Pelodiscus sinensis: one gene and its partner. The protein of the gene in region 2 purifies or fractionates together with the protein of the main gene of each other region. This does not show direct contact. Links are inferred from orthologs where the notes say so. Each region holds a gene or a part of one and is shown on either strand. Other genes may lie near its edges.

Region 1 (7,014 bases), on a different chromosome or scaffold from region 2:
AAGTAATTCTGAAACTGTATTGACTTTATACAAACTGATGGATAAATAGCCAACAATTTTTAAAGGGTTGAGTGATTTTGTGGGCCTAGTTTGTCATGTAGGAGAGGGTAGGTGCTCAGCTCTTTCTAAAAATCAAGGTGTCCAACTGAGCACCTAAAGCAGGAGTGGGCAATAATTTTTCAGGGGGCCACTCTCAGAATTTTGGTAAGTGTTCACAGCCACTCTTTTCTATCATATTAATCAAGGGGTAGGGAGGTTTGGGATGGAGTTTGGGCACAGGAAGGATTTCCAGGCAGGGGATTGAGGGACAGGGAACTGGGAGGCAGTTTGAGTCCAGGAAGAAGTTCAGAGATGCAACAGAGGGCTGGGGTGCTGAATGGGGTGTGAGGTGCATGCTGTGACCCTAGGCAGGAGGCCCTTGCCATAGGTGGCTCCCAGCTGGCAGCACAGTAGAGCTCTTAGGTGGGCAGCGGGCAGGCTACTTGCATGCCATTGTGGCCTCACACCACCCAAAGAGTGGTGTGGCAAATGCTAGCAGCAGCAGGCCACTTCCCGGGGCAACATGGTCAGGGCTATGGCAGGCAGGCAACCTGAGTGTTGTGCCCTGGGATTTTTAGAATCCCAGAGGATCATAGTGGGCTGGAGGGAAATGTTTGGTGGGCCATATTTTGCCCACCCCGACAAAGTCACCTTTGAAAATCCTGGCCATGGTGATCAGTTTTGCACACATGTAAAATAATACGTAATAGAAATACAAGGAATAAGGGAAATGATTAGAAGAATGTGAAGTTAGAAATATGAATAGTAAATGTGTTCATTCTAAATGTGGTAACAATACCTAGAAACTTAATGACTCAGCACTCAAAGCATGAATGGTCATGTTTGGCTTTTAAGTCCAAACTGTAGCTGGTCCTAGAAAAACATATGACCATGCGACCAGGTTCTGGGATCCATCTTGAACCTGGTAATTTTTCATGTGGTGGGACGCACTGAAGAAAGAATTGTCACCCTGGGGAAAAGTCTATTTAAGCAATCAGACTTTGTCTTCAACCCGCTTTTGAAATTGTCTGGCCCACCCTAAAAGGATACTTAAGGAACTCTGAAAAGCTGTAGGCCCAAACTAGAGTAAAAATCAACTCCGACAAAGCTTTAACCTGAGAACAGCTGTTAAGGTAAGAATTTGCATTACCTTAAACAGCTTTTTTGTTCATTGTAATTTAGTAACTTACTTTTATCAGACTGTTCTCATTTGTAACCAGTTAAATCCTACTTTTTGTACTTAATAAAAAACACTTTTATTTATTATCAATCCCAGTGCAAATAACTGCTATGGAGGGCAACCACTGTGCATCTCCTTCTTTCATTGATATAGTGGGTGACCTTTATGAGCCTTCACTATGTAAAACTTCTACAGAGTACAACAGATTCATGTGGGGTTTTGGTCCCCTTTAATGATTGTTCTCCTGGATACTGAGTCCTCAGAGCCAAGTCCTACCAGAGCTGAACTGCTTCACTGTCTGTGCTGCTCCGAAAGGGGGCGGTAACCCCAACTCTGTACCTTGTCTAGAGGAGACTAGAGAATCTGGCCCAGCATTATTGGGTAGTGGGGAACCCCAGAGAGCAGGAAGGCAGGCATCATGGTCAGCACATCAGGAGACAACACTAACCATCATACAAGGATTCTAGCAATTTTTTGTGAAACATTTAGTATTAGCCACTCTTGAAAACTGGACACTGAGTCACAGTCTGCTACTCTGAGCCATTAAAGCAAATTCTTTGTTCCTAAAATTATTATGAATTTATTAATTTTTCCTATAGCCTCATATTATACAATATTCAGTCTTTCTATTAAGGTTTTTCAAATTCACTTTTCCTTTTTTTTAAACAACAATCTAAAGAACTTGCAAAGGCAATTGCCTATCTAACTTAAACACCATATGGCCATTGGTCATCAATTTTCAGTCTAAACTTTATAATCAAAGTAAGTTGATCATAGTGCAGATTTATTTTTCCTCCAACTTTTGAAGGAAATTCAATAGAACAAAAAAAAAGCACACCATTTCAAAGATGTGAGATGCTGTTTAATTTTCTGAAAGGAAAAGAGTTGGCTCCCCACCTTACAGTCAAAAGAATTTCTCTCTACGGGACATTCGTTTTCCTCAAAAACTCTGGAGATATCAAAACACTTTAAGAAAAAACAAAGCACTTCATATTGAATACTGCTGCTTTGAATGTAGAAGACAAACACCGAACCAGGGATCATCACACAAGATCCTAAAACACTACACAAAAGGAAACCTCAGATACCAACCCGCTCCCTGGACACACACTCATGTCCACCAAACACTTCCTCAGGATCCAAGCCTGGAAGCAGGCAGACACAGCGCTGAACCCAGAACTGCATCTCTCACCCCCACGGGCGCTCCCAACGACTGCGGTCAGGAGTCACAGCAATTCGACCTCGGCACAGAGGGAGAGAGCAGGACCCGCGGCCTCACCAGGGCCGGCCGGTTACCGCAGGAGCGACCTTCCCGAACCCCCCTCGGCCTGAGAGACTAAGCAGCCGGGCCGGCCTCCCTGCCCCTGGAAACGGGGCCCGCGCCGCGGCTCACCCGGGGGGGCGATGGGTCAAGGGGCAGCCCCGGCGCGGGCAGGAGGATCAGAAGCCGCAGGTGGCTGCGAGCCCTTCCCCGCCGGGCCCTGGGGCGTGGCCGAGATGGGCCAGGTGCCCCCTTTCCACGCCGCTCTCTGGGACCCCCGCGCCGGGAACCGGCCCAGCTCCCACCCGGCGCCGCCGCCCGGGCTCGGCCTGCCGCCCCTCCCCCCGCGGCGGGGCGCCGGCTGCGGCTCTCACCACGAACACCGCCTCGGGGATGCCCAGGTGGCCCCGCTTTCCGCCCGCGGGCGCCTCGCCACAACAAATCTCGCCGCTGGTGGCCGCCGCCATCTTGGGGAAACTGACGGCGTGCGCGCGTACGTCCGAGCAGCCGCCCTCCGGCCGCCGAGCGCAGTGTACGTCACTGCGTCAGCGTCACACCCACCGCTCCGTCACGGCCATTGGCTGCCGCGCTTTGACGGACAGGGGAGGATACTGATCTAGTGCTGCCCCCTTGCTCTGCCTCTGCTGTGCTGCCCCCAGGGGAAAAATGGTACAGGGCTGAGTCACGCCCAGGGCAGTATTTCTGCTTAACACATTGAAGCTCTTTGTTACAATATCTTGCTTGCCACTGATGAGACCTTGGCGGTGACAAACTGAGGAGAGGTTGTGCTCATGACAGCTCATGATGATATATGTATATAGAAAAAACCAACAAATGGTCTGGTAGCAGTTACAGACTAACAAAACCTGTAGATGGTATCATGAGCTCTCTTGGGCACAGCCCACTCCTTCAGATGACCGGAGTTATGAGTTTGGGATGAGTACACTGGAAATAAATGCGGGGTGGGGGAGAGAAAAAGGGAGGGGGCTGGAAGACAGAGCATCAGTAAGTATCTGGAGAATGGGTACTTAAAAGCAGATAAAAGTCCCCGGACACTACGTTGACGTCTACACTGGCATGGTCTTGTGCAAGAACTCTTCCAGAAGAGAGTGTCTACACTGGCATATGCATTTGCACAAGAGATGTGCTTTTGCACTAGAGCTTCCATGCCACTGTAGACGTTCTCTTGCGCAAGAAAGTTCTGATGGCCATTTTAACCATAGGGCTTTCTTGTGCAAGAAATTCATGTTGCCGGTCTGCACTGGCCTCTTACACAAGAAGAGTTGCGCAAGAGGGCTTATTCCTGAGCGGGAGCATCAGAGTTCTCGTGCAAGAAGCACTGATTTCATACATTAGAACGTCAGTGTACTTGCGCAAGAATTCACGGCCAGTATAGACAGGATCAGTGTAGAGCAAGATTGCTCTAGTATAGACACAGCCTACCAATTTAACAACCATTGAAGGAGCTAACAGCTCTCTGTGTAGTATCCTTTCTAACAAGGGAATCTATCTATTGACTTGGATTTTTATTTGCTTTGGTTTAAGTACCCATTCTCCAGATACTTACTGATGCTCTGTCTCCTAGCCCCCTCCCTTTTCCTTTCCTCTCCCCTCCCCTTCCCCCCTCTTATTTATTTTGAGTGTACACATCCCAAACTCATAACTCCGGTCATCTGAAGAAGTGGGCTGTGCCCATGAAAGCTCATGATACCATCTACATGTTTTGTTAGTCTATAAAGTGCTACCAGACCATTTGTTGTTTTTTTTCTGTAACAGACTAACTCGGCTACCCCCTGAAGCTATATGAAGGTTCCACAGAAGGGTTTTGTTTTTGTTTTTTTTATGAGAGATTTTGTGTTTTCCTCTAAATTATTGTTCTTTGGGGCAATGTTCCCTCTCATCATTTCCATCCACGTGCAGAATAATTTTTGTCTATGTACACCAAGACACATGTGAATGTGCAGCACTGGTAGAAATAAAACCCTCCTTGAGGACACTCTGTTAATCAGGAGGGCAGCATTTGAATCTCTCCTGATTGACCCACAAACACAGCTTACGGCAGGGACTGCTGGCGGACTGAAAAATCAGTCATGGGCTGCACACAGGTGAGAAGCAAACAATGTTTTAAAAATATAACACCACCTCACTTACGTGGTCCCCGACTAAGCAGCAGAAAGACACTACCTGATTTCCCCTTGTACACCAGTGCTGGGGGAGGGGGAAGGAGACAGGCTAATAGATTTTATGGACCCCTCTAGGCTCTGGAGTTTGGCCAAAAGAAGGGGTTCATTGTGTGGGAGGGGGACTGCCAGCAAGCAGGATTCAGGTGTGGGGTCTGGGCAGGAGAGAGGGAGCAGGAGTGGGTTGGAGCCTGGTAGGTCTGGAAGGGTGATAGGATGCAGGAGCGCAGTAGGGGTGTAGGGCCTGGGTGGGAAGGTGGGTGCAGGAGTGAAAGGGGTGTGTGTGGGGTTGGAGTGCCAACACCAGCTCCCTAATGCTGAGGGAGAAAGCCCCAATCCTCGGGAACAGAATCCAGGCAAGCTGGAGGCTGCATCCAGCCTCTGGGTCTTAGGTTCCCTCCTCTAGCTTACAGGGAACATTGGCTCTGGATTTTATTGTCCATCCATTCCCACCTGCAACAAACTATATTGCTACCACCATTCCCTACCCCATATTATGGCAGCAAGTCCTACAGGATCACCTGCCCACTGCAGGGTTCCAGTAGGCTACGTCTAGACTGGCATGATTTTCCGGAAATGCTTTTAGCAGAAAAGTTTTCCGTTAAAAGCATTTTTGGAAAAGCGCGTCTAGATTGGCAGGACGCTTTTCCGCATAAGCACTTTTCGCGGAAAAGCGTCTGTGACCAATCTAGACGTGCTTTTCCGCAAAAAAGCCCCTATCGCCATTTTCACGGTCGGGGCTTTTTTGCGGAAAACAAATCTCTGCTGTCTACACTGGCCCTTTTGCGCAAAAGTTTTTCAGCAAAAGACTTTTGCCCGAACGGGAGCAGCATAGTATTTCCGCAAAAACACTGACAATCTTACATGAGATCGTCAGTGCTTTTGCGGAAATTCAAGCGACCAGTGTAGACAGCTGGCAAGTTTTTCTGGAAAAGCAGCCACGTGCCTGTGTTGAATGGGTAGTACTATATTTGGTTAGCAGGCCCAACACAGGTAATCCTTACACTTATGACAAAGGATGCTGTATTATTTTTATGTGCTATGAACCTTATATTGAATACAAAGCACAAGGAACGGAGAACCTTCACGAAGAAGTGTTGCATTATGTGTTGGCTCTGAAAAATAAATAATTGGACCTCTTTCCACAAAGAGCTGCTTCTTCCATGTTGGAAGAAGCATCTCCATTTTTTTGTGTGTGAAAAGGATTGTGGAACTGTATACAGTTATAACCTTTATAGACCTCTAGCATTGACATGACTTTGTAAAACAAATTATAAGATACTTATGGTACAGTTAGCATAATGATATTCACTGGAATGTCATTCCTTGCAAAACCAAGCTTCAGAGCTCAAATGAAAATTGTTAATCATGTCTGTTTTTCCCATCATGACAGTTCGAACTAGGGTGGCAGTGCAGACATACCCTAAGGTGCTGCAGAACTATTAGCTGTTTTTTAAGTTTTTCCAGTTACAGATTAACTCAGCTACCCCTCTGAAGCTCATGAGGTACGACTTCATTTGTAAGCTAACTGGAAGCAAAACCTTACAGCAACATTGTCTAATCATGAGGGACAGGGTAATCCTCATCCTCATAAGAACAGCCATACTGGGTCAGACCAAAGGTTCATCTAGCCCAGTATCCTGTCTGCCAACAGTGGCCAATAACAGATGTCCCCTAGGCAGGGATCACAATGGGTAATCCTCACGAGATCCCCTCCCCTGTCACCCACTTGCAGAGAAACAGAGGCTAGCAATACCATTCCTACCCATCCTGGCTAATAGCCATTGATGGACCTAACCTCCATGAATCTATCTAGCTCTTTTTGGAACCCTGTTAAAGTTCTAGTCTTCACCACATCCTCTGGCAAGGAGTTCCACAGGTTGACTGTGCACTCAGTGAAGAAAAACTTCCTTTTGTTTTAAACCTGCTGCCTATTAATTTCATTTGGTGACCCCTAATTCTTATGTTGTGGGAATAAGAAAATAACTTTTCCTTATTCACTGTTTCCATGCCAATCATGATTTTGTAGTTTTTGTCAGATCCCCTCTTAGTCTCCTCTTTTCTAAGCTGAAAAGTCTCAGTCTTTTAAATCTCTCTTCAGACCTGTTCCAAACCCCTAATCATTTTTGTTGCCCTTTTATGAACCTTTTCCAATGCCAATATATCTTTTTTGAGATGAGGCGACCACATCTGTACTCAGTATTCAAGATGTGGGCGTAGCATCGTTTTATATAAAAGCAATAAGATATTTTGTCTTATTCTCTATCCGTTTTTTAATGACTCCTAACATTCTATTTGCTTTTTTCACTGCCGCTTGTTGCCCTAGGTAAAGATCCAAAATGGAGTCTTAGGAG
Region 2 (7,100 bases):
AGTCCAGCCCCTCCCCCAGCCCTACATTCACCCAAGCTCATGACAGAAAAATGTTTACTTAACAAAAAATATTACAAGAGCGACACCAAATGATAAAGTTAAGCCTCAGAGGTTTGGGGGGGGGAGGGGAGGGGAGGGTGAGAGCACAAAGTCCTTTGGGAAAGGGCTCAGACACAACAGTGTCCTTACTAGGAAACCAGGACACCAGCGGAGCTGGTCTTGGCTCCTGCCCTGTCAGAGCTCTCCTTGGGCGGCTGTTTCTGATCATCCTCCCCCATCAGGCGGATGTTGTGCTTCTCCCGGAACTCGTTCAGCTCCTGGCCCTTCGTCTGCAGCTGCTGGGTCAGGTTCTCGATGATTTTGTTGATCTGCAAGTTTGGAAGTTGGGTGGAGGGTGGGAATAGTGCAATGCCAAGGCACAGTGCAGGGTGGGCACTAGCATGCACCTCCCTTCACCCTCCTGTGGGGATCTATTTGCAATTCCAGGCTGAGAAGTGCCATCCACTTCTCTTCATGCATGACAGCGTCATTCAACCCCAGGTCAATGTGCATGACCACAAAGCTGTACCCCCTTCCCCCCCCACACCCTCTGGGGACAGGAGTGGGACATCGCAGGGGAGCATATGGCAGTAGGTGGTCAATTAGTGATGGGACAGCAGCTGGGCTCACTGTGAGGCAGACTCAGCTGCTGTGAGGCCCTGCCCCAGCTCCCTGAAGGGTGAAGGGAAGCAAACATCACCCTGCCACACAGCAACGATTTAAATTAGGAAATGAGAAGAGCCCGGACTCCTGGGTTCTATTCCTCTCTTGGTTACAGATGCACTGCGACAACCCAGCCTGAGAAAAATATGCAACCCTCAATGTCCCCACTCACTGTGTTACACCCTGCGTGGGAAGGGACTAATTGCTCTTAGGGACAAGGTATGGTTTGGTAGGATCTTTCTGGGACCCAGAGTGAGGGTTTCCACAGGGACCCAACTCCCCTTGAAATCCAGCGAGGCAGATATCCTTCCAGCTCCCAAGCAGAGCCCCAGAGAGAGAGGTCCAGCACCTTCCCCATTCCTGGACACAATGCACCGCCCACCCCTGCACTAACCACATCATGGCCCCTCTAGCAAACTAGAGAAGAGACTCCCTCACCAAGAGAAAGGGCACATAGCCAGCATGCATGACATCCCCACCCCCATGCCAGTGAGGCACAGAGCAGTCTGTGCCCTCCCCAGACCCTGCCCATGCCTAGCACCCATGTTACCTGCTCTTTGTTGCTCTCCAGGGCAGGGAGGACCTCCTTGACAGTGCGCTCCACCAGCACCCCACCCACCATGCGGTAGCACCTGCGGGTGGGGTCCACCTCTTGCAACGTGTCAATGACCAGGCTGTAGAAAAGGCAGATGCTGCTGAGGGCCCTCCCAGCACCACAGAGACCGTACAGGCAGGGCTGCAGATCCACAGGGCCCAGCCAGTCGCTATAGCAGGGAAGGGGAACCTCCAGCCAGTGGGTTTGCTTTGACCCAGCCCACAAAGCTCAGAGCTCCCCCAGCAGATCAGCCTGCAGGCTCCGCCTGATAGGCAGGGAGGAAGCAGCTCTGGGAACAGCAACATAGGAAAGTTCTGCCTCTGTGCTCACTTAAAGATCTACTCCTGTGGCTCCCACTGGCCAGGAATAATGGCTAATGGGGGGGCTGGGGGACAGTGCCTACAAGCCCTGGGTCACCTGCGCCCCAGACCCTCAGAGCTGGGCCTACCCCTCCCATACCCAGCCTCCTGCCCTGACCCCACCACCTCATCCCACTCCCCAGCAGCCCCCTCCCCAACACAATGAACCCCTCATTGTTTAACTCACTCCAGAGCCTAAGCCCCCACAAAATCTACTAGCCCCAGGACCTCAGAGGAGTTAATCCAGCTCTGGGGGTAAGTCCTGAGCCTCGGCACTCCACTCCGCCATGACGCTGGAGTTTGTGGGGAATGCGTCTTTTCCCCCTCTCTCACTCGGAGAGCAGGCCAGTGAAGGCTGAGGCTGAGCTTTTTGGTTTGGTTGTTTGCTCCTTATTTGTGGGTGGCCCTGAATGATTTTTCTGTGGGCCAGTGGCCCCCCCACTGGACCCTGCACTATAGTCTGAGGCCCAGCCTACCTGATACCCAGAGCCCTGTGTGCAGAGTCGCAATGGGATCAGGGCTCCAAGCAAGCCCTGAACACCAAGGGCAGAGCCCGACATCCCCCTGACGATGGCAGGTAAAGCCCAGGGGGCCAGTGACCATTTCCAGCACTGGGCGGGTTCCTCCCCCGCTGAGCAGCGCAGGGGGCACATGGGCTGGGCCCTGCGCTGCACTGGGGGGCGGGGCTGAGAGAAGGCATCAGGTGACGCTGCAGCAGGCACGTGGCTGGCTGGTGAGGGAGCAGCTAAACGCGCACGGGGGAAGAGGGGGGGCCGATCCTGCCCCCACCTGTGCTCGTTCAGCTCCAGCTCCAGCTCCGACGCCTTCGAGGCCAAGCTCCGCTGCTCCTGCCGCAGCCGGTTGAATCCAGCCACCACCTGGGGGGGGGGGGAGAAGGTCAGTCACGGGGGGGGGGGGGAGCGCTCAGTGAAACCCCCCCCCAAGAGATGGACTCGCCTGGCCCATACACCACCCCCATGGGGTGCGATGGGCCCGCCCGACATACACCCCCCCCTCCTCACCTGGTGCGATGGGCCCGCCCGACATACACCCCCCCTCCTCACCTGGTGCGATGGGCCCGCCCGACATACCCCCCCTCCTCACCTGGTGCGATGGGCCCGCCCGACATACACCCCCCCTCCTCACCTGGTGCGATGGGCCCGCCCGACATACACCCCCCCTCCTCACCTGGTGCGATGGGCCCGCCCCACACACACTTCCCCCTTCTTAGGGTGCGATGGACCCGCCCGGTACCTGCTCCGCCGCCAGGGCTTTGCCGGTGGATGGAGCCGTCGCTGCGGGCTTGCTCTTGCCGCTGTCCGCCATCTTCCCGCCCGTTCTGCGCATGCTCCGTACGCCCCAACTTCCGGCAGGGTCACGTCTTCTACCGGCCGGGAAAAGGCCCCCTCGGGCGCCATGTTTGTTTGGGGCACGCGCCCTGACGCTGGGCCTGAGGCGCCATCTTTGTGAAGGGCTCTGTCGGACTTCGCTCCGCCCGCTCCCTTCCCCGCCCCCTGCAGGATTCCGGCGGGACCGGCCCTGCAGCTGCGCCCCAGGAGCCGAGTCGCCCCCTTCCCCGCTGCCTGCTCCATGTAACAGCCCGGCTCGCTATGGGGCGGGGCTGGGGGCGCCGGCCGCCTCGGGGGGGCGGGGCCGGCCGCCTCAGGAGTTTGGGGGGGCGGGGCTGGCCGCCTCAGGAGTTTTTGGGGGGGGGCGGGTGAGGGGCGGGGCTGGCTGTTTTGGGAGGGGAGGAGCCGAGGGGGGCTGCCTGAGGAGGGTTGGGGGGCACATCTCTGAATCGGGGGTGGGGCCGCCCCCCCCTCCCAGGGACTGGCCAGTTTAGAGCAGGCTGGATATTGCCAGTGGGAGGGGCTGGGGACGAGGAGCAGAGGGGGCAGGGTTCTGGGGTGGACCCAAGATTTCTGGGAGCCCCTGGTAGGGGATGAGGCCTGGGCGCCTCCTTGTTTTGTGTGTGTGGCGCTGACCGTTTCCACGCTTCATCCATTCCCTTAGCAGGCTGGAGTTGCTCCTCTGCTTTCCCCATTTTATTTCCATCCGTCCGGAGACTCTGAGACTTAGGGGCAACAAAACATAGCCAGGAATAGGTCCCAGGACTGGCAGCTGCCCGGATAACTGCAGCGCTAGTGTAAATCACTGGAGCCCAACGAGTGAGAGTTCAAAGAGGAACGGACTTTGAGTCAAACTATTTCAAACTCTTGATTTGTGTTGACACCTTTTAAACTTCAACAGCATATTAACATTTGGGCTGAAGGAAGCTTTAAAGATACAACACTCTTGTTCTTGGATCATGATGTCTTCTGTTCGCCCTAGATTCCCATGCTTTGCTCAAGCCAGACTTGACCTTCTTCCTGCTATTGTGGAGATAAACCATGAGCAGCAAGAAACTGTTTTTTTGTCTCTGGCTGCCTGAGTCCTCTTCTTAGTGTCATATTTCTGGGCTGTTCAGCCCAAGAATCCCATCTGATCAGATGAAGCAAAATGCAGGACAATGTAGCACTTTAAAGACTAACAAGATGGTTTATTAGATGATGAGCTTTCGTGGGCCAGACCCACTTCCTCAGATCAAAAAACCTGGTCAGATGTTTAGGGAAAGCAACTGTGAAAGGAACATGAATCTGGATGACAAAATATTGGTATTTTGGGAAGCTTTTCAAGGAGTGCACCAAGCAGTAAGCGCAGGGCCAGCCAGGCTGGTGTGTTGTTGTAGGGATGTTCACAACCACTGGGCTGACCAGGCTGCTGTGTTCATCAGCACAATGCTGGTGAGCTGAGGTAGGATTGTTCATGAGTACCTGGCTGTCTGTGCTGATGTGTTGTAGCAGGGCTGTTTGTGAGCATTGCGTTGGCGTTGCTCATTTGTTGTGGTGGGATTGTTTGTGAGCCCTGGGCTAGTTTGTTGTGGTAAGATTGTGAGCACTGGGCCCATCTGGCTGGGGTGTTGTGGTAGGGTTGTTCGTGAACGCTGAGCTATTCCTATTTCCCATTATTATTTTCTATTGTGAGGGAGACATTAATCTTCTTTTAAAGCCCCCTCCACATCCCACCCATCACTCCCAGGCTGCCACCTGCAGGCAACATCAGGGCCTCCTGCTGCAGTGGTTGAACAGTCATTAACTCCCCCTCCCTGTGCATCCTCCAGGCTGAGAGCAGTGATCCAGGCCCCCCTATGCCTGCTGCACCACACCTGTCGCCAGGTTCCCTGGAAGCAGCTGCCAAAGATCCCCGCCCGCGCAGCCAGCTGCAGGTATGATGAGCATGGTTGTGGGGAGGTAGATGTCTGGGGGGGGGGGTTGGAGGAAGCTGATGCCTGAATCACTGAGGCCTTTACATGAGCATCCTGTCCAAGGCCATCTCCTGTCTAGTAACACAGCATCCCCACAGGGACCATATAAACTGGGCTGGGGCTCAGGAGCTGCAGTTACCTGCCTCTCTTGCTCCTTCCCTGATCAGTCTGTTCCACTCTCCTCTTGTTCCTGGTCCCCAGCCCAGCCCTGCTGTCCTGTGCCCCCTGGCAACCTGGCATCATGGCTGCTACTGCGCTTAAGCCCCTCATTGCGGTGTGCCAGCTCACCTCCACGCCTGACAAGGAGCAGAACTTCACCAGCTGCTCGCGGCTCGTCCGAGAGGCAGCGCAACGTGGGGCTTGCGTTGTCTTCCTCCCTGAGGCCTTCGACTTCATTGGCAGCAGCAAGCAAGAGACCTTGAGCCTGGCTGAGAGCCTGGAGGGAGATCTGATTATGAGATACGCCGGCCTGGCCAGGTACGGCTCTGGATAAATGAAGAGCAGCCCAGATGGTGCTGGGTGATCTTTCAGGGCCAGGGCAGGTTTGGGCCAGCTTGTCTGTTTATCAGGACTTGTCCCGGCCTTGTTCAAATGGCTGTGATGGGGGCTCCCGCCCCATCCCTGGGGAGCTGGCCCACAGTTGTATGCTGCTCTACAGCCAAACTGTGAGCCTACAATTCATGTCACCCTGTTCCCACCGCTCTCCCCGTGTGCCATTTTGTCTAGAGCTTGCTCCCCTGCCCATGTCACTTTTGACTCTTTCACACCTGATTGTCCTGAATTCTCTTTGCTCTAAGCAAGGGGCTCGGCGTGGGAGCTGGGTGAGGGGTGGGGGCAGGAATGATCTACCTTAGGGGGTGCCAGATCTCTGAAAGGTTGGGCCTTTATGGGGGAGAGGTTGGATGTGAGGTTGGTGGGACTGATGGGCGTTGTGGTCCCTTCCCAGGCAGGGTGGGTGGGGGTTGAGGAGAGGCAGCAAAGCAATGTAAGGTTCACCGCAGGCCTCTCAGCATCTCTTGAAATGACTGTGTGCATAACAGCCCTTCTTGTTGGGACATGCTGTGGAGCCCATTAGCTCTGGGTTGCCAGTCCAGGCATTGACCCCAGTGGGTCCCTGCTGGGCAGGTCTCAGTCCTGTTCCTACTGGACAGATTTGGCTGGCACTCCCGGCCACCCGTCGACATAAGGGCCAGGCGTTGAGTGGGCTGTGGAACCAGTGCTGTCCGCGCAAGCAGGGAAATGTGGGAGGGAAGCTGGTATGCGACTCTTGGTCTCCAGGGCCATTACAGGTTGGGGAGTGAGGGCCAAGCTCCTTTGTAATGTGATGTCTCTCCCTGACAGGGAGTGTGGGGTGTGGCTGTCTCTGGGTGGTTTCCATGAGAGAGGTGAGGACTGGGCCAGCACCCAGAGGGTTTATAACTGCCACCTGCTCCTGGATGCCACAGGTGAGAGCGTCCGGTTCCACGCCAGCCCTCCCTGCTGGGCAATCTCCTGACACTGCCCCTGTGCTCCAAGCCCCTGCAATAAAGGGGCCACCACTCTCTACCCATCGTCAGTGTGACACGTCTGGGTCACAGCCACGGGGGCCAATCGCAGGTCAGACTGTCAGAAACTGGCCAGATGCTCCCACGCTGGCCATAGAGTCTATAATTTAACTAGAGCTGCCACTAATGTGTACTCCTGCCTCGCTGTCCTAGCTTAATGTGGAGCCAACAGACAGACTGGGCTTCTGTGAGGAAAGGTCGTTACTACTGAAAATCACAGGACATTAGGTTCTTCCAGCCTGAGGGGGCCAGTTGCTGACAGGTCAATGCTTGCTAAAGAATGCTGGAGCCAATCTTTAGTCAACGAATTAACAATGGATACATTAAGAAAACAGAATGGGAGTTACTGAGAGGCCAAAGCAAATAAAAGTTGGATCACAGTCTGTTGTCCAAAACAGTAACAGGATGTTAAATCTGCTAGTTGCATATAATAAACTTAAAAACAACTAACAGTCTGGTAGCACTTTAAAGACTAACTTACAAATGCCCAGACTAACTTGGCTACCCCCTGAAGCAGTTGTATATCAGTCTCTCTGGGTTGGCCAAATAGCTGCGGGGACCTCAGGCCGCTTGTTTGGAATTTCCCTTGTTAAAAT

The links. Proteins that work in one complex are often made in the same cells at the same time.
Region 1: the proteins of PFDN2 (region 2) and VBP1 fractionate together in Homo sapiens (co-fractionation; 8 studies listed by BioGRID and IntAct, counting the BioPlex papers as one, with this or other methods). This does not show direct contact. The link is inferred for Pelodiscus sinensis from reciprocal best matches to the Homo sapiens genes PFDN2 and VBP1.

What each region holds. Positions count from the first base shown.
Region 1 is NC_134723.1:29,341,713-29,348,726, forward strand, and holds the start of VBP1 (prefoldin subunit 3), read right to left. Parts: upstream 3,012-7,014; 5' UTR 2,948-3,011; coding exon 2,855-2,947; intron 1-2,854. UniProt on the Homo sapiens protein: Binds specifically to cytosolic chaperonin (c-CPN) and transfers target proteins to it. Binds to nascent polypeptide chain and promotes folding in an environment in which there are many competing pathways for nonnative proteins.
Region 2 is NC_134734.1:16,074,956-16,082,055, reverse strand, and holds PFDN2 (prefoldin subunit 2), read right to left. Parts: upstream 3,065-7,100; 5' UTR 3,004-3,064; coding exon 2,911-3,003; intron 2,535-2,910; coding exon 2,446-2,534; intron 1,377-2,445; coding exon 1,253-1,376; intron 369-1,252; coding exon 189-368; 3' UTR 38-188; downstream 1-37. Other genes in the region: NIT1 (deaminated glutathione amidase), read left to right, coding at 3,247-3,248, 4,817-4,921, 5,162-5,437, 6,302-6,405. UniProt on the Homo sapiens protein: Binds specifically to cytosolic chaperonin (c-CPN) and transfers target proteins to it. Binds to nascent polypeptide chain and promotes folding in an environment in which there are many competing pathways for nonnative proteins.